2 linked regions of the Diceros bicornis minor genome follow. The protein of the gene in region 1 purifies or fractionates together with the protein of each later gene. This does not show direct contact. Links are inferred from orthologs where the notes say so. Each region holds a gene or a part of one and is shown in the gene's direction. Other genes may lie near its edges.

The links.
Region 2: the proteins of SORBS3 (region 1) and DLG5 purify together in Homo sapiens (co-immunoprecipitation; 3 studies listed by BioGRID and IntAct, with this or other methods). This does not show direct contact. The link is inferred for Diceros bicornis minor from reciprocal best matches to the Homo sapiens genes SORBS3 and DLG5.

The regions. Positions count from the first base shown.
Region 1 is NC_080750.1:71,323,545-71,339,517, reverse strand, and holds the start of SORBS3 (vinexin), read left to right. Parts: upstream 1-9,048; 5' UTR 9,049-9,229; intron 9,230-11,726; 5' UTR 11,727-11,781; coding exon 11,782-11,883; intron 11,884-12,149; coding exon 12,150-12,264; intron 12,265-13,920; coding exon 13,921-14,114; intron 14,115-14,981; coding exon 14,982-15,045; intron 15,046-15,973. UniProt on the Homo sapiens protein: Vinexin alpha isoform promotes up-regulation of actin stress fiber formation. Vinexin beta isoform plays a role in cell spreading and enhances the activation of JNK/SAPK in response to EGF stimulation by using its third SH3 domain.
Region 2 is NC_080745.1:29,209,908-29,225,682, forward strand, and holds the start of DLG5 (disks large homolog 5), read left to right. Parts: upstream 1-7,249; 5' UTR 7,250-7,598; coding exon 7,599-7,902; intron 7,903-15,775. UniProt on the Homo sapiens protein: Acts as a regulator of the Hippo signaling pathway.

The DNA.
Region 1 (15,973 bases):
ATTGCTGTCAGAGCTCTGCAGTATTGCTGTTTTCAAAGCCTCTTCTGTTTTATTAAATCTTCCCTGCTGCTTGGTCTAAAGATACTGAAAATACTTTTTTTCTTGCTCTCCTTCACTTTAAGGTCCACAGGGACCTTATTTTTTTCAACTTCTCATCTGGGGTGGGGGTTGGGGAAGCCCCTTTCATCAGTTCCCTAGACATGTCAGAGGGCTCCTTTGTGAACTCTTGTGAAGTACCATTTTAGAAATGACACTTCCGGGCCGGCCCTGTGGCTTAGCGGTTAAGTGCGCACGCTCTGCTACTGGCGGCACGGGTTCGGTTCGCAGGCGCACACCGACTCGCCGCTTTCCCGGCCATGCTGAGGCCATGTCCCACATACAGCAACTAGAAGGATGTGCAACTATGACGTACAACTATCTACTGGGGCTTTGGGGAAAAAAAGGAGGAGGAGGATTGGCAATAGATGTTAGCTCAGAGCTGGTCTTCCTCGGCAAAAAAAAAGAAGAGGATTAGCATGGATGTTAGCTCAGGGCTGATCTTCCTCACAAAAAAAAAAAAAAAAGAAAAGAAATGACATGACACTTCCCAAGGACTGGTTTTCCCAGTTTTGTTTACATCCACACTATGTGAAATTGCAAGTTGAGCAGATGATTCTTTTTTAATAAAAATTTAAAACCTCATCTAACACAAGTTCAAAACATATGTCCTTTTTAAATCTCTGTGTTCTGAATATTTAGAGCAAAAGCAAAACAATCAGCTAGGGGTGGGGGTGGGGGTGTGTGTGTGTATGTGTATGTATAGGGATACTAAAACAAAAGCAGCCTCAATGTTCTTTAAAACACTGAGTAACAGGTAACTCAAGGTAACACTTTGGTTATGGGTATAGACATTGCTGATATGCAGGCCTTTTGTGACTGGCTACTGACCAGCAAATTGAAAACGGCTTATTGCACTCGGATGGGCTTGATCTGGCTCTTGCCTAGGAATAGAAGAATCAGCCTCTCCAGGAATACCAGTATTTTTCATATCGTTTTATCTATAATTAGATTGTCTTTTCTGTTCCTAAATGAACAATTGCAGTTCAATGAAGCAAGTTTTCTCTCAATAGCAAAGATTTGCTTTTTATCCTGATAACTTATGTATGATTTCCTGACACTGCTCAGGGAAAGAAAAACCCTTGGCAATATTATTATTTAATGTCATTAAGGAGCAAGGGTGGGATTTCCTAAAATTGGATAACTTTGGGCATTTCAGCCTTGGCATTGTCCCTTAGATCCTCTTCTGAGTAATTTTAAAACACAAAGTTTGAGGCAGCTGCTCTCTATAAAAAAAAATATTATAAACCATGCCTACATGAGATACAGCTGGGCTTGCTGCTCATGGTCATTACTCAAGAGTCTCTCTAGCCTTTCAGAATGAGTAAAGCTGAAATCTGTTCCTCTACCCTCCCTTGTTTTATGTAAATATTGTAGCTAATCTCCAGAATTTTTGACTGTACTATATCTATAAATATAAAACTGAAGCTCTTGAGAATTAAGTTCCTCCTAACCAATCTGGGTGATCAGTCAGTTAAAATGGTTTAGGAAGAGCTTGCCCCAGATTGACTGATTCATAGTTTTTCTTTGTATTAATCTGTTAGGTTTTTCCCTTCAGTTTTTGTATTGAAAATTATTTTTGAACCCATAAAGACTTATTGAGATATCATTCTAGAATCCCCAATACTTATTATAGTTGTTATAGTAACAGTAGAACCCAGGTTTTTTTCAAAGCATTATTCAGATTTCTCTACCCAAGCAGAAAAGATTTCAGAGGGAGGGTGAACCCAGAGCCCCAGTTGTGAGGATGAGGCTCCAATTTCCTAAATCGTTTGTGGTTATAACCACCTCGTCTGGCACCCAGTCCACATCTTTTCTGAAGTCTGCTGTAGGAGGGAGCAGAGGGCAGCCTAGGGAGCCGCACTAGTAGCTGGAGGAGGGTTTAGATTACCTGGAAGACAGTTCTGAAGCATTGTATCGCCACAGTCCCTCTTTAGCACTGCTGTGATCAAACGCTTGTGGGAAAGCCATAAGAAAGAGCAGATGTGTGTAGAGGAAGAAAGTTGTGTAGTCGAAAACAAGGTTGTTAGTCTTATCTTGAGAGGAGCAGAGAACTGTGTTAACAATAGAGCTTTGTGCCTTTGACAGAGTGTGAAAGAGGGAACCTTTATTGCTTTGAGACTTGTGACCTGACCTGCCTATGTCTGGCCAGCCAGAGTGAATGGGGTCAGGGTTAGCTGCCTTCATCTATGCAGTCACAAAGGTGAAGATGATACTGGAGAGTATATTCCCTCCCAGGAGGCCTTGGCCTCACGCCCCAGCTACCTTGGCAAGACTTGCTAAATAACACCTTTGTCTGAGACAGGGTTATGCATCTTCTCTTCTACACCCTCATGACAAGTCTAGGTGGCTTAAGATCAAGAAGTGAGGACATGGACATGGACCATCCCTCTGAGCAGCTCTAAAGTAGGGCCATGCGCACTGCCTTCCTGTAAGTTCTTGCCCAGATTCCCTTTACTCCCTTGACATAGTTGTCTCCAAATAACTTTTTTTTTTTTGCATGTTAAAGTGAAGTGCATGTAATGTGGAGGAGGCCTACCGTAGATTTTGATTTGAGGCAATAAAGAAGTTTTTTGTTTGTCAAAGAACCTTTTTGAAGATGCCATCATAAATGCCTCACTTTTCCTTTCTCAGTGCACTGTGACCAATAGCTATTTGGTCAGCAGGCATTTTCCAAGAAAGGATCTCATTTTGCTTCCTAAATGAGGTGGTCAGATATATGAGGCTAGCTGGTTGTGTAATTTTTTTAAGGCTATTCTGAACGATGGATTGATTATTTGCTTGTGCTTAGAGATTACTTGCTTTTTCATGCTTTCAATCATGTTAAAGAAAATGGTGGAAATGTTATTTATTGGCAGAAATCATTTAATACATCTTTTTTGTGAACAAGAAATTAATGTTAAAAATTTCTTACTGTAAGTTGGAAGTCATCTTTAAACAAAAAAGAAGAAAACACTCTTAAAATTAAATGATAACTTTATTGGCTCCCTGTGTCTTTATTTCCTTTGTTTCCTAGTGGAGGCACTTATATTTGGCTCTTACTGATTTAATAATTCCAGAAGTCAAGGGAAAGCCTGACGTTTGATGTCTGGTCTCTGATAATTGCAAGGAATTCCCCTCTCAAGGAAAGGAATCCCATCAGAATAAAAAGGACCTCTTTCCTTCACCTCTTCAGCCATTTAGTTTTAAACTGGCTTTGCTGGCTGCAGTGGTGTTTCTATTTCTCCCACTCAGAATCCACTCCCTCGCCCCAGCCTCCTTCCTGGCACTTTGCCCACCACTAACTCATGCTCAAGTCCCAGCGCCTTGAAGAAAGGAAGAAAGACATCCCAGAAAACATATAGTCTTTACAAAAGATAAAAATAATTTTTATTATAGTAATTTAATAACTCTGCATGGGATCTTAATAATAGACATGGATGAATTGCATCTTGAGAGAAGTCAAATAAGCCAGAGAGGAGTGGAATGTGGAGTTGGACTACCAAGAAAAGGAAGTGTCAGACCAGCCTTTTGATTCCTCTGAAAAGTAGAAATATCATGAGGTGCTGTGGATTCACAAGGAAAAATAACCTCCTCTGGTCAAGTGGGGGATTAAGGATAGGGAAAGTGCCCAGGGTCCTTGGGGAGGAGAATGTATCAGTGAAGGAATGCTATGGGCTATGGCAGTAGAGGTGGAAAGTCTAGGTCTGGGCCCTGCCAGGCCTAAGTATGGCAATTTGACTGTAAGGACAGCCATATCAAGGGCCACAGTGCAGTTTACAGGCTGGAAGATGAGCCCAGATTTCTCCTTTCAAATGAGCTGAGTATACATTTTGGGATTTTTGTTATTCCAAGAGCGTCCTGACTTAGCAGTGTCCTTATACCTCAGCTAAACCTTCAGTAGAATGAGGTTATATTGGCCTTTATTTCCAGAGTTGTGAAAAAAATTTTTACAAGCCTGGAAATTAAGAACTCAAATGCAAATTCATGTTTAACTCTTACTACATCTAGATCCAGTCCCTGCTTTCTTGCCTGCTGTATGTAATTGCATGATCTTTTTGTTTAAATTTTTATCATAACTTTCAGGTTTTAGAAAGAAAGTCCATTTAATTTTGATACAGTGGATTAATAACTTAATGGCAAATTAGGCAGTCTTTTTAACGTTGCTGCAATTCAGGAGAAGGTTCATCATAGAATTGAAGGAGGTGGGAAGACAAGGTTATTCTTTGTTTGGAGGCCAAAGCACTACCTTGCGGTGTCTACTGGCCAAGAAATCAGCCCTCTCATCTTCCTTATCTCCATTTACCTGCTCTAGGAAAGAAGGTTGATGCAGACCCAGTTTTCCAGCTCCTGGTCTGTGTGCCCTTGTTTGTGGCTGAGTTAACTCGGTTGGGTTTTCCCTCTGAGGTCATCACTTAGTTATCCTTCTCTTGTAAAATCTGCTTCCTAAAGAGCTGACAGCCACTTGCTCTTTCTTTCGTGAGAACTAAAAGAGGTTCATCCAGCTTGGTTCTTCTCAAAGACACCCCATCTGCACATTGTCCTTGTGTGCTCATCTACAAAAGGAGGGAGGGAGAGAGACAACAGTGGCCGATGTGACGTCAGTGTAGAGGCATCCTTGAAGAAGGATGAATAGATAATTGGACAAAAGGCTGAGTGCTCTCATGGCCTTTGGGGTTTGCATATAGTTGACTCTGAGAACCCTAAGTAGATGCCTGTTACATCGTGTGTGTGCTATGGAAATATTTGTGCAAGGCAGGCCTGAAAGCCTCATCCTCTGTTCCCATAGGGATCCACTTATTCACCCTGGCTGCCTGGCCCTGACACTGACCATACTTGACCTGTATTGGGTATTTTTTGACTCACAGAGATCCCTTACTTTACAGTGACTATATCAAAAAATATGGATTCCAGAGGGACCAGGTCATGCCACTGTCAGCTTAGGAGGGTCTTCCAAGCCCCACAGTGGGTCACTTGTATTCCTCTTCTGTTGCTCTTGTTCCCATGAGTGTTTGGCATAGACGAGGGCCATCAGTGGAATTTGGCTGGCAACATCAGCAGGAGCTGGAATCAGGAGAGGACCCAGAGAAAGAGATGGAGCCCAGGGCATGAAACACAGTCCAGATTTGCACTGGTGTGTCTGATGTGACTTGGTTTCAATTCTTTCCTATGGGTCACTGTGGTCTTCCCCTCTAGAGAAGTCTAAACTCCTTGAAAGGGACATTGCTTTCTTTGCTAAGCCATTCTGATCTGGTTGCTCAGTTCCCCTGGCAAGAAGAAAACTCATTTCTGAGAGCACAAATAAAAAACTAACTAAAGAATATACCAGGAGTTCATCCCTGGGGAGGAGGAGAGAAGCAATAGCAAATGCCCTTCTTTTGTCTAATGTCGGGGGACTGAGGCACAGAGCCAGGGAGCCCCCTTGGCTGCTCAGGGTAGATCTCAGAGGGTGACATTCGAATGCCAGACTCCCAGCACTAGATAAAGACACTCCTTTGATGGGTTGTAATTAGTATTTTGGTGGTGAACATGATGTAGTCCATGCAGAAATAGAAGTACAATGATGTACACCTGAAATTTTTGCAATGTTATAAACCAATGTTACTGCAATAAACAAAAAATTAAAAAAAAAAAAAAAAAGACACTCCTCAAGAAACAAGAATTCAGGCTTATGTCTTCTGGGATCCGTTGCTTCCTTTCTCTCATTTGAGAAATAAAACTAAATTCTCTGTTCACCCTCCTCACTTACAAAAAAAAAACTACTTAAGTGCTCTTTCCATTTATCCCTCCTCTTGGTAACAGAGGTTGGTTTTCAGAGTGACCTGTATTCCTGTATGAACAGCCACCCTCTTCTCCCCTTGGTGTGAAGAGCCACAACATCTATTGGTAGTCTCTCAGCTAATCATCCCTTAGGGTGGTGGGCGTGGACAGACCTCTGTTGACATGGGTGCCACTGGGGGATAATCCATAGTGTACAAGGTGGCAGCCTCAAGGAGCAGGGTGGGTGTGGGGCATCCTGCTGAGTAGGATCAGATAGCTAGGAAAAAACAGAGCAGTTATGTAACTTTGTTTACCATGGCTCAAGTGGCTCTAAGAAGACAGAGGCAGCCCCCTGACAAAAGGCAGTCCCAGAGATGTGGAAGAGTCACAGGGAGGGAGGTCCCTGTTAGATAATAAGGCAGACGCCAGAGGAGATAGTGGATTGGGGTGAAAGGAATCTACTCTGTTGTTGAAACAGCCAGGTCACCTAGGACAGCCTTCCCTATCCTCAGCCTCTCCCTAAACCATGCCAGCTGTCTTAGGGGTCGGGCCAGCAGCAAGTAGAACTGAGACTGGAGGGAGGAGCTGAGAAATCAGACACCTGTTTCTTGGCTGAATCTCTGGACTTTGGTACTTTTTGCCCTTTAATCTTCCACTTTTCAAAGAGGAGGGATTCTTCTCCCTAAATATGGGCAGAAAAGGAGGAGTCGGTCAAGGTTCCTTATGTTCTATGCTCCCACCAATCTCTCATCCTCTCTTCTGTCAAGCTGGATGGGCACGAGGAAACATGATAGAGGGATCCTGTTACAGCTCTTGTCCAAGCACATAGCCTAAGACTCTGGGAAGGAGGGCGATTTCCACTGGTGCCAGGGCAAAGCAGTTTCTGTCCTGAGAGAGAAGGTGATAAGCACAGCAGAGCCCGGGCCTAAGTAGACAGGCAGAAGTCCAAGAAGCTCAGGAGAAAGGCTCAGGTTTCCTCCAGCAAGGCCTACCCCGCCTCCTCCTACAAGCTGTTTACTGGACTCCCTATTCCCATAGAGATGAAACTGGTAGCCAGTCCCCAGCTCCTTGCCCATGGCTGCCACCTCCCTTTGTGACACACAGGAAGTTGAGACCATTGTCAGCTCAGCTGCACCCTCTACGTTAAATATTTATCTTGGAGTCCAGGTCAGAGCCCTAGAGAATGAGAGAAGCTTGCTGCTGGTGAGAGAGGGTATGGCCAGGATTCCTGGAGCTGGGAGATCTTCAGCTTCACCATCTTTGGAGAACAAGGAAGAACATGAAAAAGATGTGGCCCTTCTTAGTCGTGAGGATCCTGACAGGTGGGAAAAAACTGATGACAAGGGACATGGGCACATATTTTGTCCCTGAGGGAGGGAAGGAGATGGTGCCTAGGGGTGGGTAAGTAAGTATCCAAGCTTTAGGGAAGGGAAAATGCACTTTGCCCTCAGGAAGTCCGAGAGCTCCTACACTCCTTTCTGCAGCTGTCGTCTGTGGGCAGGGCTACCCATCCCAACCCTGTCCCTTCAGCTGTCCTGGAAAATCACTGACTCTTGGAAGGGGTCTTCAAGGTGATCTCGTTCAGCTCCCTGCTCCGTGCAATCATTGCCTTTACAAAGGTGTCCCCCAATTGGCAGAGTACAGAATTCCTGTAATCATGTAAAAGCTCATCCTTGGAAACCTTGGATTTGCTTCCAAGTGGGCACCCAATGGTCCCACTTCTGCCGGTGCAGCCAGTCTGTTTCCTCACACCACCCTGAAGACACTGGGAGCTAGCCAGCATGCCTCCCTCTCTTAAGCTTCTTCTCAGCCTAAACATCTCGTTCTGCTTTTCACGTGTGATATTGTTTCAAGCTGGTTCACCCCAACTGGAAACATCTTTTAACTGAATTGAGGAAGGATCAAGCTAATAGCATCAACGATGTAGGAATTTAAGAAAAGATTCTTTCATCTTTCCTCCATTCTCTTCCTTCTTCCTTCTGAAGGTTGAATGATGTGCTTGGAAAACACTCTGAAGTGCATGGTGGCCTCAGGGCACCAATCTTACACCCAGTAGGTATGCAGTAAACGTTTTCATATTTTCATAATTTATAATTGATCACTCCCGAAATGGATCTGAAATTGCCCAATAACTATTTGCTATATGGTTGGTTTGGAGCTTGGGGTCCCAGAACCAAGCCAACGGCTAAGAAGTACTCCAGAGTCTTTCCATCAGCAGTAAACATTCAGTAAGCACCCTCACTTTCTATAACAGGCCCTGTGCCCACCAGAGGCTTGGGGGAGAAGGGGAAGAGGGATGACCAAGGGGTGGAGAGCCACTGGACGCGGGCTCTTGGGACCCGTGTCAGAGCAGCGGGAACAGCGGAAAAGCAGCAAGATCAAAACAAACACGCGTATGGGAACACCAAGACCCTGGTAACCCCATCCCGGCCAAAGGGACTCCGCCCTCATCCTCTTCAGGGGCGCGGCTCGCCTAGGGGGCCAGCTCCCGTCGGTGGATTTCCTCTCCGGGCTGCCCTCCGCGGTGCTTGCACGTGTGTGAGCATCCGCCCGTTTGCAGTGCACACGCGCCTGTGTGTGTGTGTGTGTTTGCACACGCCGGGCACGCGCTTACGCAAGCACGAGATTTCTCTCCCCAGGGGCGGAGGGAGGCGGCGGGACCTGAACTCGGTCCGCTAGGCCGCTCTGCACGTGGCGCCCTTATCTCGGCCCCAGCCTGTCTGCAGCCCTGTCCTGTCTCCGAGGCTGCCGGCTCCGTATCAGTTGCTGGCTCGGCCCGGCCTCTTGAATCAGTCCTGCCCTCTGTCCTGGCTCCGCCGCGCAGGGCTCCCTTCCCACACGCTGGAAATGTCGCTGGAAACTCTGAGTGGCTCTCGCCGGTCCTCCCGCCCCCGCCCCGACGCCAGCCCTGCGGTGGGGGCCGGGAGAGGCAGCTGGGAAACCCGAGCGGGCTCCCCGGGGACCCTCGGCGGCCCCTCCCGGCGCCGCCTCCGGCCGGCCCGGCCCCCTCTGCAGGGGCCCCGGCGTCCCCGCCCGCCCGGCCCCGACGGAGGGCACTCGCACGCCCCCGGCCGCCAGCGGGAGAGGGAGTCGCCGCCCGCCCCCGCCCCCCAGCGGCCCACAGTCCAGACTAAGGGCGACACTGCCGCCCGCCCGCGCCTCTCCTGGTCCTCCTGCGGTGCGCGCCCTCGGCCCCGTCGGTCCCCCGCTCCCCTCGGGCGCCGGCCTTGCGGGCCCCGTCCTGACCCGGTCACGAGGGCGGACGGCACAGCCCGGGTTTCTGCCTGCCCTCCCTGCCCGAGCGCCCGCCGCGGCCGCGCCAGGCAGGAGCCGGGCAGAGATGCCCCTGCGCTCCCGGGCATCCTTAGGCCCCGCCACCTGCTCGCCGGGGAAGGTAGGTGCCGGCAGGGAGAGGGGCGGAGAGGGGGCGGGGGCCGCAGGCCGGGAGGGAGCCGCGCCCGACCCGAAGGGAAGGCAGAGGGCCCCTCCCCCTGGGGTCCTCGTCCCAAACTCTGAGGTGGAAAGAGGTAAGAGGCCCTCCCTCAATTCAGAAAAGGCGAAATTCGAGGAAACCTGGCCGTGTCCATGTGGACTTGTAGCTGGAGAATACCCGGGAAAGCGCCGAGAGCCAAGCCCCCGGGGTCGGGGCGGTACTTGGAAGTGGGAAGGAGCCTACCGACTCCAACACGGCTTCTGCAGCTCTTCCAGCCCTTTGGAGCTGGCTGCCGGGGTGAAGGGCTTCCTGAATTCTGGGGGGACCCCGTAGATTTCCTGGTACCCTCTGTCCTCTGCCGGGCGTGGGACCAATTCGCCCGTGCCTCTGTCTCCCCTATAAGTCCTCCTTAATGTCTCCTGGCTGGCTGCCAGGAGAAAAACTCAGCCACTGTTCCCCACCCACCCCTGCATATCCCTGGGGGGTGCCACGGGGCACAGTGTTGGGGAGGGGCAGATTGAGCCACCAAGGATCAGCAACCCCTGAAAAATCGGTGTGTGGGGGGACCTCCTGCCCCCACCCCATCCTACTAGAGGGCAGTTCTCACGAGCACAGCAGGGTGGGACCGAGGCGAGGGAAGGAGGCCGGGTCAGCTGATGGTTAGGGCTGCTGATGCTGACCTGGCAATTTGGCCTCAAGCAGTCAGCTGGGCAGGAAGGGGTTGCTGCTAGGAACCAACCTTCTCCAGGCCTCTGTTCTCAGGCTCTTGCCTGCCTCAATTTCCCCCACAAGGGGAGGGAGAGCAGGAGAACTGGGGCGGGTCTGCATGTTTTGCTCTTGGTAGGAGGCCTAATTGGATCCAGCTGGTGAGCTGCCCCTCCTCCAGCCCCAGCCCTCCACTCTTCCACAGCCAGGGATGGGCATGGAAAAGCTGTCCTCGATAGGTCTTTTGAATGTCAGAAGGAATCCTCACTCAGACCAGAGACAGGGAGCTGCCCCCAGCCTTGTCTCTACCCTCCAGCCCCCCATGCCCTGAGCAGGAACTGGGTACCGGAGTAATACAGCCCCTCTTGTACCTTCTTCCCCTCTGGTCCCCATAACTCTTGTGCTGCTCATATGACCCCCCACTGCACTCTCCCCCACCTATTACTCAGCTGACACCCCTCTGTACCCATACCCCCACTCTGCTCACGTGACCCTGGGTGGTACGCTCCCCAAGTCGCGTTCACAGCACTGTGCTTACATTCTACCACACACACACACACACACACACACACAGCACCTCACAAGGCCCTCGCAGCCCTCCCATGAACCCCCAGACACCACAGGCACACACAAGGCTAACCGCTGAACAAAAATGCCAGAATTGGTCTAGCCCCAGAAGGTGGTGGAGGTTGGCTCAGCTTCTGGCCCGGTGCAATAGCACAGGTGAGGAGAGACAGGCTCCACACCTCAGCCCTCTGGGTAGAAAAGCCCTGTTGGACAGCCCCATTGCCTCCATCTCCAGAGTGCCTGCAGCCCCCTTACCCTGACCCAACCCTTGCATGGGGCAGAAGAACCCGGCTGGCCAGTCAGGCATGGTGCTTCCAGGAAGATCCTTCGTTCAAAAAAGAGCCTGGAGGTGTAGGAGGCAGTGGGGTGTGCCCACATGTATGTGTCTTTGTGTGCGGCACTCAGCACCACCCCTCCATCAGCAAGTCCAACAGAGCCCTTACCCACTGCTTCGTTCTCCACTCCCACTCCTCACTGGCACCCTGAGCCCTGTGAGGCTTCAGTCCCAGCAAGCGAAGGATGCCAAAGAAGGGAGATGAAACTTTGAGTCCAGGAGTGGTTCCTGCTGCCTGGAAATGCCTCCACACTCTCCCCGTCCCCAGAACTTTGGCCCCGTTGGGCAGTGGGCGGATGGCCTTGCCGTTGTCCAGGGCTTCTTCCCCGGCCTGAGTAACCCCTTGTGCCCCCTGGCAAGCAGATGCGCACGCAGGGCCTGGGGGAGGCAGAGGGAACTGAAACAAAATGCTGAGTGCCCAGACCTGCCCCTGCCAGCTGCCCCAGTTCCCTCTGCCTTCCCTCTGGGGGAGCGGGCTGCACTGTGCAGTGAGAGCCCCAGAGGGGCTGACCAGCAGGCCCACGGGCCCCAGGCTTTGTCCAGCAGGCCTGCTCCTAGCCAGCCTCCCCTCCTCCTTGCCTGGGCCTTCCCCTCCCCCACTCCCACCCCCACCCCGAGCTCCTGCCTGGGGCCTAACAAGAGCCCATTGTGCCTCTAGGAGCCGGCATGGGGCAGCCTGCAGGAGGGGCCTGCAGCGGCTGTTTCCTGGGTCCTTGAGCTCCCACCCAGCTGGTCTCGACCCCTTCCCACAGCCGTGCCCTCCTCCCCCACCCCTATTGGGGTCAGGCCCAGAGGGCACAGCAGCCTGGGCTCAGCAGGACTTTTCCTTCCTCCTTCCTTCCTTCCCCACAGAGGACAAACAGCGGAGCAGCTGGCACACCGGGAGTCCTCCGACCTTGACCCAAGCATGCAGGCCCCACCCTGCAGCCTCCCCACTGGGCTCAGCCTGGATGACTTCATCCCTAGCCACCTCCGGGCCCACCTAGGGTCATCCTCCCGGGGTACATGGGTGAGTGAGACAGCGAGGGAGAGGGAGTGCTGTGAGCCCACAGTTGGCGGGGACCTCGCAGGACAGATAGGGGCAGGAGGATTAAAGGAATGGAGGGAGGGAAGGGTTGGGAGGCAGCTCTAGAGAGCCTCGCCGCTTTCCCCCAGAAGGGTCAGGCTGGCCCTCGAGCCCTCACCATGGACTCTGGCTGTGCCCTGGTAGCCATCCCTCCCACCTTCTGCAGAACCTTCTGGGCCTGAGCTGCTGCTCCTGGCCCCTTCCCACAGGTGCCTGTGATCCGGAATGGTGGCTCCAACACCCTTAATTTCCAGTTCCATGACCCTGCGCCCAGGACTGTATGCAATGGGTACTTCCCACTGAGAGATGCTTCCCAGCACCCAGGTGGGTCTGCTCAGGAGTCCCGTGTGGGGGTTGGGGGATCAGAGCCTCCTGGGCCCTGCCATCTGCTACCACCCTGGGTCTGGCAGGAGGGGTAGGGGAGGGATGGGGGGGCCTCTGAGCTCAGCTAACTGCCCCTCCCAGTGTGAGCGTGTTGGCCTATGAGAGTGAAATTCGCTGTGGGAGAGAGCAGGCTGATAGATCCCTTCCCCTCCCCTCCCCCAGTGCCAGGCGAGGGAAGTGTACAGGGGACAGAGCCTTGGGCCCCAGAGTGGCCTCCAGCAGGCCAGGAAATAGCTTGGACCGGGGATGGAAGGGTGGAGGAATGTGAGCATATGTTGGCTGTAGAGGGGTGGATGCTGCACCCTAAGGTCTGTACTCACCAGCACAGCAGAAAGTTGGAGAGCCTCTCAGCTCCTGGGCTCCTGTGAACCTCCCCAGTCTGGCCTATGGGCTCTGGGAGATCCTGGGACCTCTGGGGTGCAGGCCCACCCTGAAGGCCCCTTTCCTGAGGAGGATGGCATCCTTTATTGAGCATTCCCTTGAGGCGGGCACTGTGTCAAGTAGTTTATTCATTTAACAAATAATTGTTGAACGCTTAGAACATGCTGGAGCCTTTTCTCATTTAATCCCTCAGTGTCCTGGCAAGGTAAGTCACAGTTATCAGGATCTTCTCAGTAAGGAGCCTGGGTCTCAGAGATGTGCAGTTGCAGAGGCTGAGCTGAGATTCAAATCCTTGTCTGTTGGGCCGGCCCCGTGGCGTAGTGATTAAGTGCGCGCGTTGCGCTGCTGGCAGCCCGGGTTCGGATCCCAGGCGCGCACTGATGCGCCGTTTCTCTGGCCGTGCTGAGGCCGCGTCCCACGTACACCAACTAGAAGGATGTGCAACTATGATGTACAACTATCTACTGGGGCTTTGGGGGAAAAAAATAAATAAAATTAAAAAATAAAAAACTTATTAAAAAAAAAAAAATCCTTGTCTGTCTGGCCTGGCAGCCCTTATGCTGCTATACTGGTGACCTGGGGGCTGAGGTTCTGGGGAAGTTGAGGACACAGTAACCACGTCTGGTGAATGAGTTTCTGTCCCTTATCGAGAGCCTCTTGACTGTGGATCAGGCACTGTGCTGGTCACACACACGAGATCTCCCTGAATCTTTGCCATGATTACCCTCGTTTTACACGTGTGAAAACTGAGGTACTGAGAGGTTGATTGCTATGCCCAAGGTCACACAGCCAGTAGGTGGCAGAGCCGGGTTCTGAATTCAGGTCTGTCCCCTCCAAGCCCAGCGTCTTTTCTGCCACATCCTACTGCCTCCCTAGCTGGGATGTCCCCAGCATTCTCTGCAAATGATGATTCTCAGCCCTCACTCATCCTGAAAAGTCTTAGGACAGCCCTAGGAAAGCAGTGTGGGGTGGGGGTGGGCACAGATTTCTCAAGACAAAATCCATTCTCATTCACTTTTACTAAAAAATAAACAGAGGCTCGTGGTCCTGCTGGGGATGGGGAGGTTTTTAGAGTCTGCGTCATCAACTCAAACAAACAAGGAGATGCTGAAACTTTTGAACCAACAGGGATCAATGTTCTGAGGAGCTAAGGGACGAACAAGTTCAGGTGGGGTCCCTGCCCTTTGCTAACGCTCTCCTGCACACACCCCACAGACCCTGCTTGGTATCAGACCTGGCCAGGCCCTGGGAGCCGGCCCTCTGGGAGCCAGAAGACCCCAGCCTCCCAGCATCCCCAGAACTGGTCAGCCACGTGGACTAAGGACAGCAAACGTCGGGACAAGCGCTGGGTCAAGTACGAGGGAATCGGGCCTGTGGATGAGAGCGGCATGCCTATCGCCCCCCGATCTGTGAGTCCAGGGCTGGGGGCCACTGACAGATGATGGTTCACTTCTGTAAACTAAAGTAGGGGCCACAAGGGCTGTACCCAGACCATTCCAGACTAAAGCAGGGGTTCAACCATGATGGGTTTCGGGGGTCATGAGCCCCATAAAGGTACAGGCACTCTTGTGTGTCTGAGTTGCACAAGTGGTTTGTTGGGGGGAAAAGGGGAGCTAGAATGCCCCCAAGTTCTCTGAGGCGGAGAGCCACTGTTGGGAGGCTTGCTCCTGGCAAGGATGGGCCTTGCACGGCACTCGTGAACTGGCTGCTCAATGAATGACTGGCTGAATGAGTGAGTGGGGGGCTGAGTGAGAGGCCTCACGCCATAGCAGGCATGGAAGCATCTGGGCCCAGGCTCTGGGGGGCCCTGCCCACTTCTGCCTCCACGCCTGTCCTGAGCCAGCCGCCTGCCTCTGGTTCTCCGCCTCCTCATCTGAACCTGAAGTTGGCAATATGCCTGTCCCGCCACCCAGGGCTGTTGTGAGTCTCAGGTGAGGCAGGGGATGTGAAATACCATTTCCCCCTCTATGACTGCATTTATTTTTCATGACCTAGAAACACATGTTCTTTGTGGAAACATCAGAAATATAGAAAAGCAAAGAGAAAAAACGTAAACCACCCCCATCTCACAGCTCAGAGGTCGTCACTGATGGAGATGCTTCCATGTGTCTTATTCATATGGAACACGCCACGTGAAGTTACTGTTATTAAAGATACAACAGATAACAGCCCACCCACTGGGGCTTCAAGGGTGGCCAGAGAAAGGACTCAGTGAGGGAACACTTTGGTGACTTGATATTGGGAGGGTGGCCTGACTTTGCCTTTTCTGATCCCAGAGTGTTGACAGCCCCAGGGACTGGTACCGGAGAATGTTCCAGCAGATTCACCGGAAAATGCCAGGTGAGACCCCCTTCCAGGGCCCTCTCTCTGCCTGAGTGGGCTCCGGCCCCTGGGGCTGGGGTGGGGATTCAGAAAAGAGAACTCACCTGCTCGGGGAGGCCTTGTCCACCCACCCCAGACTCTGTGGTGAGTGGTCCCTGAAACAGGCCAAAGGGGGCTCCAATCTGCCCCCTGTCCTCAGAGGACAATGACGAACATTGTCCACGGTATCCTCTGAGGGTACTGGGAAGCCACAAGGGCACTCACTGGTTCAGGCACACCCTTGACCATCTATTGAGCACTTATTGTGTGCCGAGCACTATTGTAGGTGCTGAAGATAAAACAGGGAACAAAAAAAGAATGTCCCTCCCCTGGTGAAGCTAAGACAGAGGGAGACGGAATCAGTAGAGACGTATTTCACGTGGCAGATGGTGGAGAGACCAGGGAGAAAAAGGCTGGGGGTGCCAGTGCAGGGAGGTGCTGCGGCTGTAGGCGGGTCAGACAAGGCCCTGAGAGGCGGCAGCTGAGCAGGGAGCTGAGGAGTGAAGCAGTGAGCCCTGCAGGGCTTGGGAGGAGCGCCACCGCACAGGGAGCAGAGACCCAGAGGCAGAAGCAGGCCTGGCCCGATCTGGAGCAGCAAGGAGGGGCTGGGCTGGAGTGAGAGGGGGCACGTGGTAGGAGATGGAGTCAGAGAGGGGACGGGTCACGTCATGCAAGGCCTTTGGGGCCATGGTAAGGACTTTGGCTTTTACTCTGCGAGAGCTGAGGAACCACAGGGAAATTGTGAGCAGAAGTGTGACATGCTCTGATGATTGATGGCTGAAAAGGCTCACTCTGGCTGCCAGGTGGGGAAGAGATGGTGGGGCAGGGATGGAAGCCAGTTAGGAGGCCTGGCTTTAATCCAGGCTGGAGACGACAGTGTCTCAGACCAGGGCAGTAGCAGCGGGCT
Region 2 (15,775 bases), on another chromosome or scaffold:
CAAAACAAGGAAGGTTGTCTTAGGGCCTAGCCTAGTGCCTGGCGCACAGTAGGAACTCAAAAAATAGTTGTTAACTATTTGTTAATCATAAATTAATCCTTTCCTAGGATTTGCATCTCTGATCTCAGAATTTTGCGCTGTCCTGGCACTCTGGGCAAGATTCATTACTAGGTATGGGCCTCTCTCAGATTTCCTGTTGTAAAATCTTAGGGCACTTGCCTGTGGGCTATTCCTGTACTAAGAACAGAGGCAGTTTGAAGAAAAATGTCTTCATGATTTGAGAAGCTATCATGGGCCAAGCTTAAGCTAATTTTTTTCTAAACAGGTATGGTTCATTTCATGTCATAGTGTTCCTAAAAAGTTGTGGGAAATATGGCATTTTCATAAATAGAATTCCATTTTCAGCATCCTGGGGGAATTCATTCTTTTAAGGCACTCTTCAAGGAAATCCTTTTAAGTGTCACATCTCTGATGTTGGGCCACCTGCAATTTCCAGGGTAGGAGGGAGAAACGATCCTAGAAAGGATTGCTTCTCCGCTCACACACATCCAAGTGTTCATACTAGTGCAGTTGGTACTCACAGACACCCACACTCACACTGAAACACTCACACTCCTGCCCACAGTGCCCTCACACTCTTGTTGTGCATGTGTGCACATGCATGCTCACACGTGCACACACGATCTGCACATACATTCTCGAAGGCGGCCCTGTTGACTGCCAAAGGAGCTGCACACGTGGAGCAGAGCACCAGGATCTGTTTCTCCAGGGAACAGCTGTTGCTTATCCATTAGGACATAAAGTCCAGGGTCAGAGGCCCCTGGGGCCCCAGCTCCCTCAGTCTGCAGAGAAGGCCCAGTTTCTAGGTATCTTCATTTGAAAACTTGCCCTCCAATCACCAGTGGAGAACTAGATTCTGTTTTTCAAAGATACCATAAATAACTACCCCAAAAGCAAGTCCTGCTGGAGGAGTAGGTTTCCATTCATTCATAGAAAAGGGTGTTTTGTGTGTGTGTGTGTGTGTGAGGAAGATCAGCCCTGAGCTAACATCCATGCTAATCTTCCTCTTTTTGCTGAGGAAGACCGGCCTTGAGCTAACATCTATTGCCACTCCTCCTCCTTTTTTTTCCCCAAAGCCCCAGTAGATAGCTGTATGTCATAGTTGCACATCCTTCTAGTTGCTGTATGTGGGATGCGGCCTCAGCATGGCCTGACAAGCGGTGCGTCGGTGCGCGCCCGGGGTTCCGAACCCGGGCGGCCAGTAGCGGAGCGCACGCACTTAACCGCTAAGCCACGGGGCCGGCCCAGAACAGGGTGTTTTTTGAGTTCTACCAAGTGGCAGGCACTATGGCAGGTGCTGGGGGCTCAACAGTGCACAAGTTGATATTGCTTCTGTCCCCGCAGAGCTCATCGTCTTTGGGGACTGCTAGCCTTATATTGTAGCCATAACAAAATTTCCACAAACTTAGAACTTTAAAACAACCTACATGTAGTATCTCACAGTGCTGTATGTCAGAGGTCCAGGTTGGCTTGACTAGGTCTCGCAAGGCTAAAATGAAGGTGTCAGCCAGCTGGGCTCTCATCGAGAGGCTGTGGGAAGAATCCTTTTCCAGCCTTGTTCAGGCAATTGGCAGAATCCAGTTCCTTGCTATTGTAGGGCAGAGGTCCTTATCTCCTTGCTGGCTGTCAGCTGGGGACCACCCTTCACTCCTAGAGCCTCTCTCTGGTCCTCCAATGTGGGTCCCTACATCTCAGAGCCAGTGATGGCAAGTCAAATACTTCTCCTGTTTGGAATCTCTCTGATTCTCCTTCTCCTGCTCAAGAGAAACTTATCCTTTCTACTGAGAAAATTCTCTGCTTTTAAGGGTTCATGTGATTAGATTGGGCCCATTTGGATAATCCAGGATGCTCTCCCTATTTCAAAGTCTGTAACTTTAATCACATCTGCACAGTCCGTTTAGTCATGAAACGTAACATATTTCATACTCACAGGTTCTGGGGACTAGGGCATGGACATCTTTGGGGGGTACATTCTGCCTACCACAGGGATATAGAGTAATGAGTTGACAATTTTAACAATATAAGTTTTTAAATGTTAATAAAAGAGAAGTAAAAAGTTGCAATGACAACAAGGAGCAGAGACAGCCCTTTTGAGAGGAGGTCAGTAAGGCACGTCTGGCTTCCTAAAGCAGGTAACACCTAAGTTGGAACGTGCAGAATGGGCTCTGAATCAAAGGGTTAATGCTCCCTGGCAGGACTGTGCTTGCAGAAACCTGGAGGGGGCCGTGGCCTCAGGACTACCTTAACTGGGGGATGGATTTCTGAGCAGGGGCATCTTTAGCAGGGTCTGGTGGACCAAGCTTGTATGCAGGGCAAGGCAGGAGAGGGTGGGGAGCTTGGTACTGAGCCCCCCAGGGGTGGTTGCTCCATAGTGGGCAGAGTTCAGGTGCCCCCATTGAGCTCCCAACCTGCCGCCCGCATCCTGCGGCATCTGTGAGTTTGTGAACCTCTCTCATTTTGCTTCTGATCCTGCTCTGTTCTCAGGTGCTCTCATTCCTCATCTTTCCATTTTCAGCAGATAGTATTCTTGAAATGAGGCCTTAATGCAAACTTCTTTAGTTCGTTCATTCCTTTACATATTCACTTGTTAATTAAAAAATATTTATGAGCCCCTACCACATGCCAGGCGCTGTGCTAGGGGGATACAGCAGAGAACCAGGTAGAAGGGGCCCCTGCCCTCGCCCGCTCTCTGAATACAAGCGAAATGGAAGTCTTTCAGCTGGAGTCCACAACCATTCATTCAGGGACCTGGAAACATCTGCTCAAAACCTGTTGCTACATGCTGCAGAGAGGCCTTCCTTTCAGACAGAAGAGAGAGTGGAAGCCAAAAGAACAGTGACACCCACCATTGACTGAGCACTAACTACTTTGATCCTATTAGTAATATTCCTATTTTACAGATGAGGAAACTGAGGCACAGAGAGGTTTATCCAACATTACCCAGCTAGTAAGTTGCAAAGCCATTATTTTTTTTTTTTTAAGATTTTATTTATTTTATTTTTTCCCCCCAAAGCCCCAGTAGATAGTTGTATGTCATAGCTGCACACCCTTCTAGTTGCTGTATGTGGGACTCAGCCTCAGGATGGATGGAGAAGTGGTGCCTCGATGCGCACCTGGGATCCAAACCCGGGCCGCCAGCATCGCAGCGCGCGCACTTAACCACCAAGCCACAGGGCCGGCCCATGCAAAGCCATTATTGAAATCAGCATTCTGACTGCAGAAGTTACCTGCTCAAGCACTACATTAGGGGGTTTATATGCCTGCCAGATACCAGGCATTGTGCTCAGGCTTTGTATAAGGCCTGTCATCGAACTCTCCTAATTACCCCACCAAAGGGTGAGGTTTATTCCCAAATTTGAGATGAAATTGAGGCTCAGAACAGTAACTAGCCCGGGGGATACATAGCCAGCGTCAGCATTGGGATCTGAGCTCATATCTGTCCAGCTCCAAAGTGATTACCCTTTGGGAGGGAGGGAGTATGGGGAGAGAAGAGGAATGTACAGTCAAGTTGGAGAGAAAGGAGCCATGGGTGAGGGAGGGGTTAGAGGGAGAACAAGAAGGTGTTCTCAGGGTGGGGTGAAGCAGAGCGGAGTTGACACCGGAGGAGGTGTGAAGGAAAGGCCCTGGGTGGCATCAGGAGGTTAATGGGGAGAGAGCAGTTTTCTATGGGGAGTTGTGCTCAAAAGCTGGACTGCAAAGCACTAACCAAGGACTGAGCTGTCTATGAGCATGTGGAGGTCCCCGTGTCAGGCAGTGGTTCTTTCCTAAGGACATGAGAGAGGGCAGGGGAGCCCTTGAGAATGGGGACACCAGAGCCTCTTTGTTGACAAAGGGGAGGGAGGCCTGAGCCATAGCAGAGGGAGACTGGTGTGAATGTGTGCATGTGAGTGTGTGTATGAATGTATGTGAGTATATGTGTGAGTGTGTGTGTGGGGGGGAGGGGGCGTATCCAGGATACAAGGATTGTATCCAGAGCATGAGAGGGCTGTTCTCAAGGAGGAGGGGCCCTCTTTCTCTAAGATCAGAAAAAAGGAGGAAAGGTAGGTAAAACTAAAGAGAAATTCTTAGGCAGTGGAAGGGTGAGGTGACAGTGACTTGTAAAATGGGGCAACCCATCTTTGTCTTTCCTTCCTCCCCCATTGTGATGAGATTGCGTTAGTTTCCTGGGGTTGCCATAACAAATTACCACAAACTGGGGGGCTTAAAACAATAGAAATTTACTAGCTCACAGTTTGGAGGCCAGAAGTTCAAAGTCAAGGTGTCAGCAGGATTGGTTTCTTCTGGACGCTCTGAGGGAAAGTCTGTTCGAGGCCTCTCTCCTAGCTCTGGTGGTTGCTGGCAATCCTTGGCATTCCTTGTCTTCTAGATGGATCACTCCAATCTCTGCCTCCACTTCACATGGTATTCTCCTGTGTTCGTGTGTGTGTGTGTCCAAATTTCCCTCTTATAAGAACACCATTCATTGGATTAGGGCGCATCCTAATCCAGTATGACCTCATTTTAACTTGATTACATCTGCAAAGACCCTATTTCCACATGAGGTCACATTCACAGGCGCTGGAAATCAAGGCTTACACGTATCTTTTGGCAGGACACAATTCATCCCAGAACAGGGCACAAAGGAGATAATGTGGGGGAAGCTGCCCTGAAGGGTATAAAATGCTACAGAAATACAAGGTTATACCAAGGTCACAGGTTAAAGGAATCCCATGGGCCAGCCCCGTGGCTTAGCGGTTAAGTGCGCGCGCTCCGCTGCTGGCGGCCCGGGTTCGGATCCCGGGCGAGCACCGACACACCGCTTCTCCGGCCATGCTGAGGCTGCGTCCCACATACAGCAACCAGAATGGATGTGCAACTACGACATACAACTGTCTACCGGGGCTTTGGGGGAAAAATAAATAAATAAAATCTTTAAAAAAAAAAAAAAGGAATCCTAAAGTTTAACGTGTTTTTAAAGTCAATGATTTCCTCTAGAATTTATGCTTTGCATAAAACCCCAGAGTTTCCAATAAAGGGTTTGCTGAAAGTAGTGTCTATCACTGTACAGCACCTGGGAGAAAACCCTCTTAGCAAATGGACTTCCTCACTGCTTCCTGGGAAGGCTTCCAGAGGCTAAACACACATGTTCCCCACCATCCTTTTAGGAGTTACTGGGAGACCGTGCCTCCCTCCTGCCCCCTCCTATCTCAGACACCCTTTGGATCTGGGATTTACCCAGAGTTGGTTCTAAGCATAAACCAAATTAACCTACAACTTCTCCCCCTCTCCCCTTCCACCTTCCTCTCACCCTCTAGATTTCTAGTTAATCCAGCTAAGAACAGAGGTCCAGGTGTGTCCTGAAGGGTGGATGCCTTTGTGGATGATTTAGGCTCTGCAGTTGCTGTAGGGGAAGTGGTGGCCAGAAGAGGGAACCATCTCTCAGGGGCAGGACGGGGAGGGACAGCTAGGGAGCCTGTCTGGACCTTGGCACTGTGCAATAGCCAGCCTTCTCCTCTCTTTAGAACCTTGCTCAGCCGTAGAAGCCCAGACTATCTGAGCAGCGGGTAAAAGAGTTTAGTTCCACCATTTGGGTCATTAAAGAATTTGATCAAAGCTATACACCTCCATCCCAGAAAAATACATACATGTCCACAAGAAAGTTCAGATAATTTCAAATGTTCACTGACACCCTCGAGCTTATTCATGAACACAAGGCTAATAACCCCTGAAAGAATACACTGTCTCCTCATTTTCCTGAGAAAACTGAAATCAGCTGGAGTAATTGATTTGCTCCCACGTTGTGCAGCTATTTACAGGGAAATCCAAAACTGAAGTGTAAATTCTGGTACTTGTGTTCTAACCACTATATGTAGAGTTTGTTTCCATTAAATAAAAGCGACTCCTCCCCTTAAAGAAGCAGAATCTTGTAGAAAACTTTGCTTTTGGGGAGAGGAGAGAAAATGGTGGGGGTGGGAGTGACGGTGTCAGTAGAAAAAGCACCTGTGGCCCCCAGTGCTTGTTAATAACTTCACTCATTCCAACAGAGGCGTTGGCAATGGCGCTGGGATCCCACTCCACACCAGCGCCGTGGGGTTGTTGAGAGCCATCCGTTGGGATTCCAGCTTTTAAGGCCCTCCTCCTGCAATTGGGAGGTTTAAGTGTCCACAAAGGGCTGTAACGGAAGGCAGACGTTCTTGGACTTGGAGCCGGACTGTAGATCCTGGTTGAGGGCATCAGGGAAGCAAGGTTTCCATAGCCCATTGATTTACCTTCTCCAGACTAGCTAGAATCTGGGGGTGACATCTAGGGAGGAGAACACCTCTCCTGCCAAAAAAATCCATGGCTCCCCTGCAGAGCCTCACCTCTCTTTCTCATCCAACAACACACCCCCTCCCCCTCCTCCCAACATCCAGTCCTCTTTAGACTCTGGGAACCAACTCATCTAAAATGGGGGTGAGGGGAAAGATCCTGATTAACCGAGTCTTGGGAGAGTATACTGGAAAATTCTCTATATAAGAGTTCCTTGGAGTGGGGAAAGCTCACAGATTCGGGGGGGGTCTTAACTTGGAGATGTCCAATTTAGGGCACTCCCTCCCTCAATTGTCTCCAGGCTTTATTTTGGAGTTCTCAGATTAGGAGACTCTGGATTGGGGGCAGGCCTTTGTTTGAGGGGGTCTCCAATAGCTTGGGGGCTGGCCGTGTGCACGGCCGAGGGGGCTGGGGGTGCGGGCTGCTTCACGCAGGGCCCCCAACTCCGCGTCCCCCATCCCCGGCGGCGCCTGGGCCTCGGGGACCCGGAGAGCAGGCGAGCGCAGCGTCCCCGCCTCCCAGGCGGGCCGGGGGCGGGGAGCCGGGGACCCCTCCCCTTCGCCCATCCCCTGCGGGCCGGCCGCCCGGGCGCTCGGACGGACGGCCGGGGGGAGGGGAGAGGGCGGCGGGGCGGGGCGGGCCGGCGGCGGGGCTCGGGCCATGGCGGAGCGGGCGGCGGCCGCGGGGCCCCGGTGAGCCGGACCGGGGCGCACGGGCCGGGCCGGGCCGGAGCCATCGGGGGCCTGGCGCACCCCGCCTGGCCGCTTTCCCTGCGGAGTTGGGATCTTGTCTGGGGGGCGGCGCCGGGGTTTCGGGGCGAGTTTTCTCGCGGGGCCGGGGAGGGAGCGGCGGGCGGGCGCGGAGGGCGGGGGGGGAGCATGCCCGGCTGGAGCCGGGCCTCGGGGCGCGCCCCGGCCGCCGTCCCCACCTCCGCCTCCTCCTTCTCCTCCTCCGTCTCCTCCTCCTCCTCCTCTTCCAGTCCCGCCGCCGCTGCAGCCAACATGGCTGCGCTCCTGAGCCCGGGAGGCGGCCGCTGCTGAGCGCCGCTCGCCGCCCGGGCCCCCAGCCCGCCCAGGCCCCGGCTCCGGCCCATGGCCCCCTGCGCTTCGCGGCTCCCGGCGCGCTAGGGCTGCAGCCGGGCGCTCGCCGCCCCGAGGCGCTGCGGGGCCCCTCGCCGCCGCAGCCAGCCCGCGCGCCCGCCGGCCTCGGGGGCCCGGGAGCCGTCCGGCGGGGCGGGGCGGCCCGCCACCATGGAGCCCCAGCGCCGGGAGCTGCTCGCCCAGTGTCAGCAGAGCCTGGCCCAGGCCATGACGGAGGTGGAGGCCGTGCTCGGGCTGCTCGAGGCCGCGGGAGCGCTGAGCCCCGGCGAGCGGCGGCAGCTGGACGAGGAGGCGGGAGGCGCCAAGGCGGAGCTGCTGCTCAAGCTGCTTCTGGCCAAGGAGCGGGACCACTTCCAGGACCTGCGGGCGGCGCTGGAGAAGACGCAGCCTCACCTGCTGCCCATTCTCTACCTGAACGGCGTCGTCGGGCCGCCGCAGCCCGCCGAGGGCGCCGGTGAGTGTCACCCCGCCCCGGCCTCTCGGACCTGCCTTCCACGACTTCTCTCTCCAGCTGTGCTAGGGGTGACTCACAAGGGCCACCAGTCTACCTGCCGCTGGCCGCTAAAGGAGTCGGTCTAGGGAGGGGAGGCGATGCGGGGACCCCTGCTTCACACCCCCACCCTGAGTCCAGCGGTTGCTCTGAACTATGCCGGCACTGCAGGCCTTGACTCTCCCGGCTGCCACGGCAGCAGGGTCCTCCCGAGACCACCAGCTTCCGCCGCGCGGTGACCTCGGAGGGGTGGCCGTCAGTCCCTTTTCTAAGGCTCTTCGCCACCCGCCAGTCCTTTGGGAGCGTCTGCTAGTCTTTAATTAATGATACAGCCTAGAAGAATGGAACCAGGGCCAGGACCGGTACTCCCGAGCTTTGGGCTCTGCCACCCCCTTGCAGGACCACTGGTGTCTTTTCACTTTCTGACTCGCTCATCTCCCTCTGCCCAGAGCTCAAATCTGTGTGCTCGCTCAGACTTGTGGTTGATTATGCACAATGTCTGCTAGGTTTCTTTGGAAACTATGGGCCCGGAAAAGTTGGGGAAGTTGCATTGCACCATGGGAAAATCCTAGTACTGGCTGCTGGGGCTCAGATCGCTCCCTGACGGTGCTGAGCTGCCTGAGGAGGGAAGACTGGTGGCTGGTTCCCTTGGGTGGTGGGTGATGGATTTGTAGGTGTGTGTGGGGGGCAGTACTGCTGGGAGTTTGTGACAAGTGGTAGTCTTGGCCTGGTCTGGTTGAAGAGTGTGGAAAGCCAGCTTTTTAGACAAGGAAGCTTGAGGAAGAAGGCTTAGCACTGAGGAAGGAAGAGAACCAGCGTTTATTAGGCACCTGTTGTTGTGGCAGGCACCCTGTTCTATCACGTTCAGTTGTTACCACTCTGTGAGCTATTATTCCTGCTTTGCCAGAGAGAAAATTCCAGTTTGGACTGGTTAAAATGCTCAAAGTATTGAAAACCAGAAGTTTTCAATTATGACCTTTTGTTTAATTGAACACTTTTGGAGCCAGAAATCAGCAAGTGCCACCTTTTCTATGTCTTGTCCTTGCTTTAAGAGTGATCCGAGAGGGCTGACAAACTGCCCTTAGCAACCTGTAGGCCAAAGACTGATGCTTATTTGGCTGTTAAAAGCCTCACTTCTCAAGGGGATGATTTTATAAGCTGGGTTACCGTTCCGGGTAACAGCTCCAATGTATATTGGCCATCTCAACCTCACTTGTTATAGGAAAGGAAATGGACATACAGAGACCCTAAACTGCGGGCCCACAGCACATCATTCCATTGGTGGCCCTTCTGTCTGCACTTTGGGTTTCCAACTCTGTGGCATTTATGCCCCCCACACTTAGAGTCTGTCCACCAGTTGTAGTTGTATCTGAGTTTCTGGGCAAACCCAGTTCTCTCCTGTGAATGGTGCTTTGGAAGATTCTAAGAAGGGCTGTCAGATGTGGCCATGAGGATGAGGACAGAGGGAACTCTCATCGGGGTAATTTTTTTTCTTTTTAATTGCTTTCTGTCTGTCTATCCATCTGTCTATCTTTGAAGCAGGAAGTTTATCAAGGAAGTGCAGAAGTTGGAGTGCAGACTCAAGTCCTTGTTGGGGTGTGTTTGAATCAGCGCTAGCTTTAATCTCTGGAATAGATGGATGATTGCCATTAATTAGGTCTCTCCCTTTTTCATGCCTGGTGGAGAAGGTGGGACCTCAGAGGGTGGAAGTTCTAGGAGCTGGTCCTGACCTCTAAGGAGGGGATGGAATAGGGTTTGGATTTTATCCCTGAGGGAAGTGATTTCAGACCCTAGTTTTACCAGAATGCAGAGTTCTGTAACTTTGCCAGAGGATCATGAAATCCTCAGAAGAATAATTTTCAAGGGGAATTTAAGTTCATTTTAGTTAATACTTTAGAAAAAAATTAGGATAGCATTTGATATGGCAAGGTACCATCTAGAGCTTCTGGGGGAGAGGGTGACATGGTGTGCAAGTAGACAGTAGAGTGTTGGGATCTTTGTAAAGGATGAACTGCTCTGCAGGGGTGTACCAGCTTATTTTTTCTTTTAGCCAGGGAGCAGTACATAAAAGAGCTGCTCTGGTTGAAGGGATGGAAGCACCTGTCTCATCTCCAAGGAGCCAAAGTCGGGGAAACCCAGTACCGTGTCCTGCCCCCTTACTCTCTCTAGCAGTTTCCACTCTGCAGGCAGGTCCACGGCTCTGCCTGTAAGTCGGCTTTGGTGCAAGCCCCTTGTGGGAGCCTGAGAGAGGAACCAGTTGGTTTCCCGAGGATCCATAGCGTCAAGGGGAGGCCCTTTTGTTACCATCTCTACATAGGAGGTGCCACCATCACCCAGTAAGGGCTTCCTTGGTGGATTCCACACCACGTGTAGGGCCCTGCTTCGGGAGGCCCATCCCCTGGGTGGCACTGTGTGCTGTGGGAGTTTGCTGTGCTGCAGGCACATGATGTCTGGCAGTCCCCCAACATGGGGCCTGGAACTGGGAGGAAGCTGTCCTAGGTGGTACTGGGCAAGTGAGCAAACCAAACCTGTCCGTTCTGCTCATGCTCTGTTAGAGCCCCAGATGTTTATAATCCAGCGTGCTCAGGCCTGGGGTGTGAAGTGACCAAGAAAATACAGTGTTGTTTTATTTTGGAGGGTGTTGGGACTCCCAGGATTGACGATACATTGCTGTTCAGCATTTTGTATCTTACCACGTACTTTAATATCTCCCTTAATTCCGTGGAAACCCCGGGAGGTGAGTGGTGTCTTTTCTGCGTTACACTGGGTTCTGTAGGTGTGGGGACAGGGCAGAAAGGAGCCCGGGTCGAGGCGAAGCTCAGTGCTCCTGATTCCGTGTTGGGGCGGTTTTTCCTGTTACCTGATTAGGCCCTCCCACTGGAATTTCAGGCTGTTTCCTGCATCGGGGAGCTCTGGAATTATATAGCCTTTCCTTGTCCCGACCCCTGGATCTGTAAGGAAGAAGTGGTCACCTTTGCCCCCGCCGGTGGTAGTGAGAGGAGAGAACTCTTGTTCTCCTCGTAGTGACTCAGATCTCTTGTGTGTTTTCCACAGTTGTACCAGGATCCTTTGCTTTTTGTCTTTGATTCAGTTGCTGACATCTGGGTTTTCTCACTTGAGGATCCTCGACGGCCTGCCCCTGGAGTGAGGGCCCTTTCCTGGCCAGGAACCTCAGCGTCTTCATCTGTGAAACGGGGCTGAGGGTGCTAGGCTGCCCGCTCAGCCCCCAGGAGAGCAGAATGTGACTGGGGACGACTCAAGTGCCTGGTCCTGTGCTCGGTCCAGAGGGGACAGAGACGGGGGTGCGTAGGATGTAATTCCAGCCCTCCGCTCACTGCCTCATTGGGGGAATGAGACACTCAGGAGAGCGACATTATGAGACAGATCAGTTGAGTGATAGAAATGCAAGCAGGCTTTTTCCGCCTTTTAAAACTCTGTATGCTACGTGCTTTCCCCAAATACTGTCATCCACCTCCTCCTGGCTCTAATTACCATCTAAATGGGGAGGGTTCCCCAAGCCATTTCACGCCAGGCCTCTCTTGTGGGGCAGAAGTGGCAGAACTTGATGATCCTCTCTGCGTGTGCTGTGTGCTCAGAGCTGAATGTGTCCTCGTCCCCTCCATGCCTCCTCTTTAGTTGCCTAGCGAGCTGGCTGACTTGGCTTCACCAGAGTTTAGAGAATGGAGACAGCAGTGTCTGCTGGAGAAGCCGAGGAAGTCTTCACGGAGGGACTGGGGCTTGAGCTGGGTATTGAAGGGGTGCTGTGAATGCGCAGAGGGAAGGGAGGGCGACCTTCTGGGCCATAGATACAACGAGAGCAGAGGCCTAGCCGTCACAGGAGCAGTGTGTGCCTGAGTAGAGCAGGGGATTGACATTGGCTCTGGATGGACGGGATGCAGAGGTAATCTGGAGGACCGTGATGTCTAGGCTGAGCGAGGGGTTTGGACGTCACTTGGAATTTAGGCACTGTACACTTGTTGGAAGTTAAAGCTGGAGGAATTTTTTTTTTTAAGGAATAGCTCTGCCAGGCTTTTCCAGCAGGATGAGGGCAGTTGGCTGCTGATTGTCAGATATGGATTATTTATTATTCCTTAGAGGTTATCTGGGCCTTTTGTTCTCTCCGTGCTTGCTCGGGTACCTGCCACCTTTTCTTCATCCACTCTGCCTGGAGGGTCGACGGACGTGGACATAAGGGAAAGCTCCAACCATTGTAGTTTTTCCTTTGGTTGTTTTAGTTGTGTTATAGAGAGGAAGTGGTGGAGGAACTTGAAAATAATGGTTGAGAAGAGGTTTCTAAGAGAAAGGCAGATTTTATTTATCCCTCTATGTATTATTAGGTCAGGGTACCTTAATGAAAGTGACAGAAATGTAGCTCAAACCATATTAGGCAGAAAAGAAATTTATTGTATAATATTCCAAAACATTGGGTTGGATTGGGGAAACTGGCTTTTGGATGATTGATTATGAACGCTGCAGGCTTTTCCCATGGGCTTGGGACATGGACTCAAGCCCTTCTGGGCTTCATCTTCACCGCCCCTGACCAGAGAATAAAGGGAGCTCTAGCCGATCTGCCCAGGCAGAAAGATCTCATGGTAAGGTTCTGATTGGCCTGGCTAGGGTCATGTGTCTATGTGAGGCCCAATCACTGTGGTTGGGGCTAGAGGACTAAGATGGGCCCAGCAGTGGACCCAACCAATAGGATAGGGTGATGGGATGCTGTGATTGGTAGCCTGTACCATTACTGTTTGGTTCTTTAGAGGAGGAGAAGCAGTTCTCCAAAGGAAGAAGATCAGGAAGGATGTTGTGCAGGTCTGACTGCAGGTGAATGTCCACTACATGTGGTCTCATCTTTGTGTGACCATACAATTAGCAGATGAGGTCATTGCTGGAGTGGGGCGGTGGGGAGAAGTGGTCAGACTTCACTAGATTCTAGACCTTGAGCAAGGCAGTTGACCTTTCTAAGCTTATCTCCTACTCTACAAAATAATTAAAACAATAATTACTTCACTATGCTGTTTGACAGTTTGTGGTAAGAAAAAAAGAGAAGCATTTTGTTCCTTTGGCAAGCAATGCAGCCTGGAACCAGCCTTAGAAACAGAAACCTGGGATTCTCCTGGTATTGCTGAGGGTTGTGTGAGAGCTCCTTGTAACTATGCTGAACAGATGTCAGGGTTGCTTTTACTATGGCTTTGGGTCACCAAGATTCACATTTGCTGTTGTATTCCTAATGCCTAGACTAGAGCCTGGCCCGAAGTAGGTGTTCTGTAAATTCCTGTTGAGTTGATGACTAGTCAGCCGTGTGTAGAATGAGTGGTGTGTCCCTGTGTAACTCCGGATCCTCTTCAGAAATACGTGCAGGTTCCTAAGTGGTGACTTCGCAGGGACAGACGGCTGTGGGAGTGCAGGAAGGCTAGAGTGAGTTCCAGATGCACACACGGATGTCACCACCCACAGTATGTCTATGATGGAAGCAGGTGGTATCTGAAGTCTCCAAGGTCACCCATCAGGTATCAGCATTGTGGGGCTGGCTGCCAGGAGCCATGTGGAGCGGCCACATTGCTTGTTTTAGGATTGGAGAGCCCTTCCCTTGTTGCACTTAGAATCTGAATGTCAGCGTGGTGTCCTTGAAAGAGTCCTGGATGAGGATCTGCTCCTGACTGTGCAACATCTTGATGAGCCTTTTAACTACCTGAGGCTTGGATTTTTTTCAGTACGACAGTCGAACTAGAAGTTTAGCATTGCCTGAGGACTTGCTCAGTCCTGTAGGGTTCTCAGCACTTCCAAGGTGGCATTGGGTCCAAGGAAGCTTGGTGATGGGGTTGGACTAGATTTCTGAGGCTTCTTCTAGCTCTGTACCATGATTACTATTTGCTGATTTAGCGTTGGTGTCGAGTGATTTTTGGTACTCTGGCTTTCTATTTCTTGAAAAAGTCAGCAGCGTAGGAGAAATATTTTGTCTTAGTTTTTTTGTTCCACCTTGCTCCAACCACCTATACTTTCTGCAGGCCAGTGCAAGGAGGCTCTTCAGTAATTTCCTGTAACCTTGGGAAGACGTGAGCCACAGAAATACTGGGCATAGAGTAAGAGGGCTGAGCTGCCTGGCAGTCCGTGCAGTGGGGGTGCCGAGGGTATTCAGCAGAGAGGAATTTTAAATGAGATTGAGCTTTTTTCACCTTGTACCTTGGGCAGATTGCATATGTCTCAATTGTGTGCTCTATTGATCTTTTTGAGACAGACTTCCATGAAAGTGCTACAGAAATATTTTAAACTAAACACGTTTGGAGTGTCCAGTATTGGCCATCCAACTCTAAACCCTTGGTGGATAATTGCGAGGTGACTGTTTACCTTGATGTTCATTTCACACTAAGGGTCATAACCCATTTGCTTTGAGTCTTTTTTTTTTATTGTGGTAAAATATATATAACAAAATTTGCCATTTCAATCATTTTTTTCCTATTTTTTTATTGTGGCAAAATATGCATAATATGAAATTTACTATTTTAACCATTTTTAAGTGTACAGATCAGTGGTATTAAGTATATATTCACATTGTTGTGCAACCGTCACTACCATCCATCTCCAGAACTTTTTCATCTTGCAAAACTGAAACTCTGTCCCCATTAAACAATAACTGTCCATTCTCCCTCTCCTAGCAGCTCCTGGCAACCATCATTCTACTTTCTGTCTCTGTGAATTTGACTGCTCTAGGTACATTATACAAGTGGAATCATACAATATTTATCCCTTTGTAATTGGCTTATTTCACTTACCTTGATGTCCTCAAGGTTCATGGTGTAGTATGTTTCAGAATTTCTGTCCCTTATAAGGCTACATAATGTTCCATTGCGTGTATATACCACATTTTGTTTATCCATTCGTCCATCGATGGACACTTGGGTTGCTTTCACCTTTTGGGTGTTGTACATAAAGCTGCTGTGAACATTGGTGTATAAATATTTCTTCGAGTCCCTGCTTTCGGTTCTTTTGGATATATATCCAGGAGTGGAATCACTGGTAATTCTATGTTTAATTTTTTGAGGAACCGTTATACTGTTTGCTTAGAGTTTTAATTAAGGAAATTCATACTGTCCATAGTACCTTGACTCAGGGTTGAGTGGCCTGGCTAGAGTCCTAGTTCCAAAATTTTCTTTCCTTTTTTTTTTATAATTTTATTTATTTATTTATTTTTCCCCCCAAAGCCCCAGTAGATAGCTCTATGTCACAGTTGCACATCCTTCCAGCTGCTGCACGTGGGACGCGGCCCCAGCATGGCCGGAGAAGCGGTGCGTAGGTGCGCGCCAGGGATCCGAGCCCGGGCCGCCAGCAGCGGAGCGCGCGCACTTAACCGCCAAGCCACGGGGCCGGCCCTCTTTCCTTTTTTCTTCTAAAAATTCTGTATTTTTTCCCCCAACCTATTTTGGAAAGTCTCAGGACAGTTCCTTGGGACTTGAAAGAAAGATTTGAGTTTCAGTAGTCATCTGTGATTCTTTTGAGGCCAGAGTTGTTAACCGTACAATCCCAGCAGCATTCGTATCTGGCAGCCAAAGGATGTTCACACATTTTCTTCTTGTTTCCAGTACTAATCTCTCCATCCCCAAAGGCCTTGAAGTATGTTAGTTATTTCTGCTTTGTAGACACTTCTTCCTTATCCGGTTCAGGGTTGGTTTGGTTTTTCAGCCTTAAATTCAGCGTAATGGCTATCAAGATTTTCTTTCAAAGGGCCTAGATCAACGTTTCCCAAGGAAACATCTTCTAAACACTAGTTTGATGGGATGTTCATGGTGTTACTGGGTGAAAGGGTTCCGTGGTCAAAGCATTTGAGCAGTGCTGGTTCGAG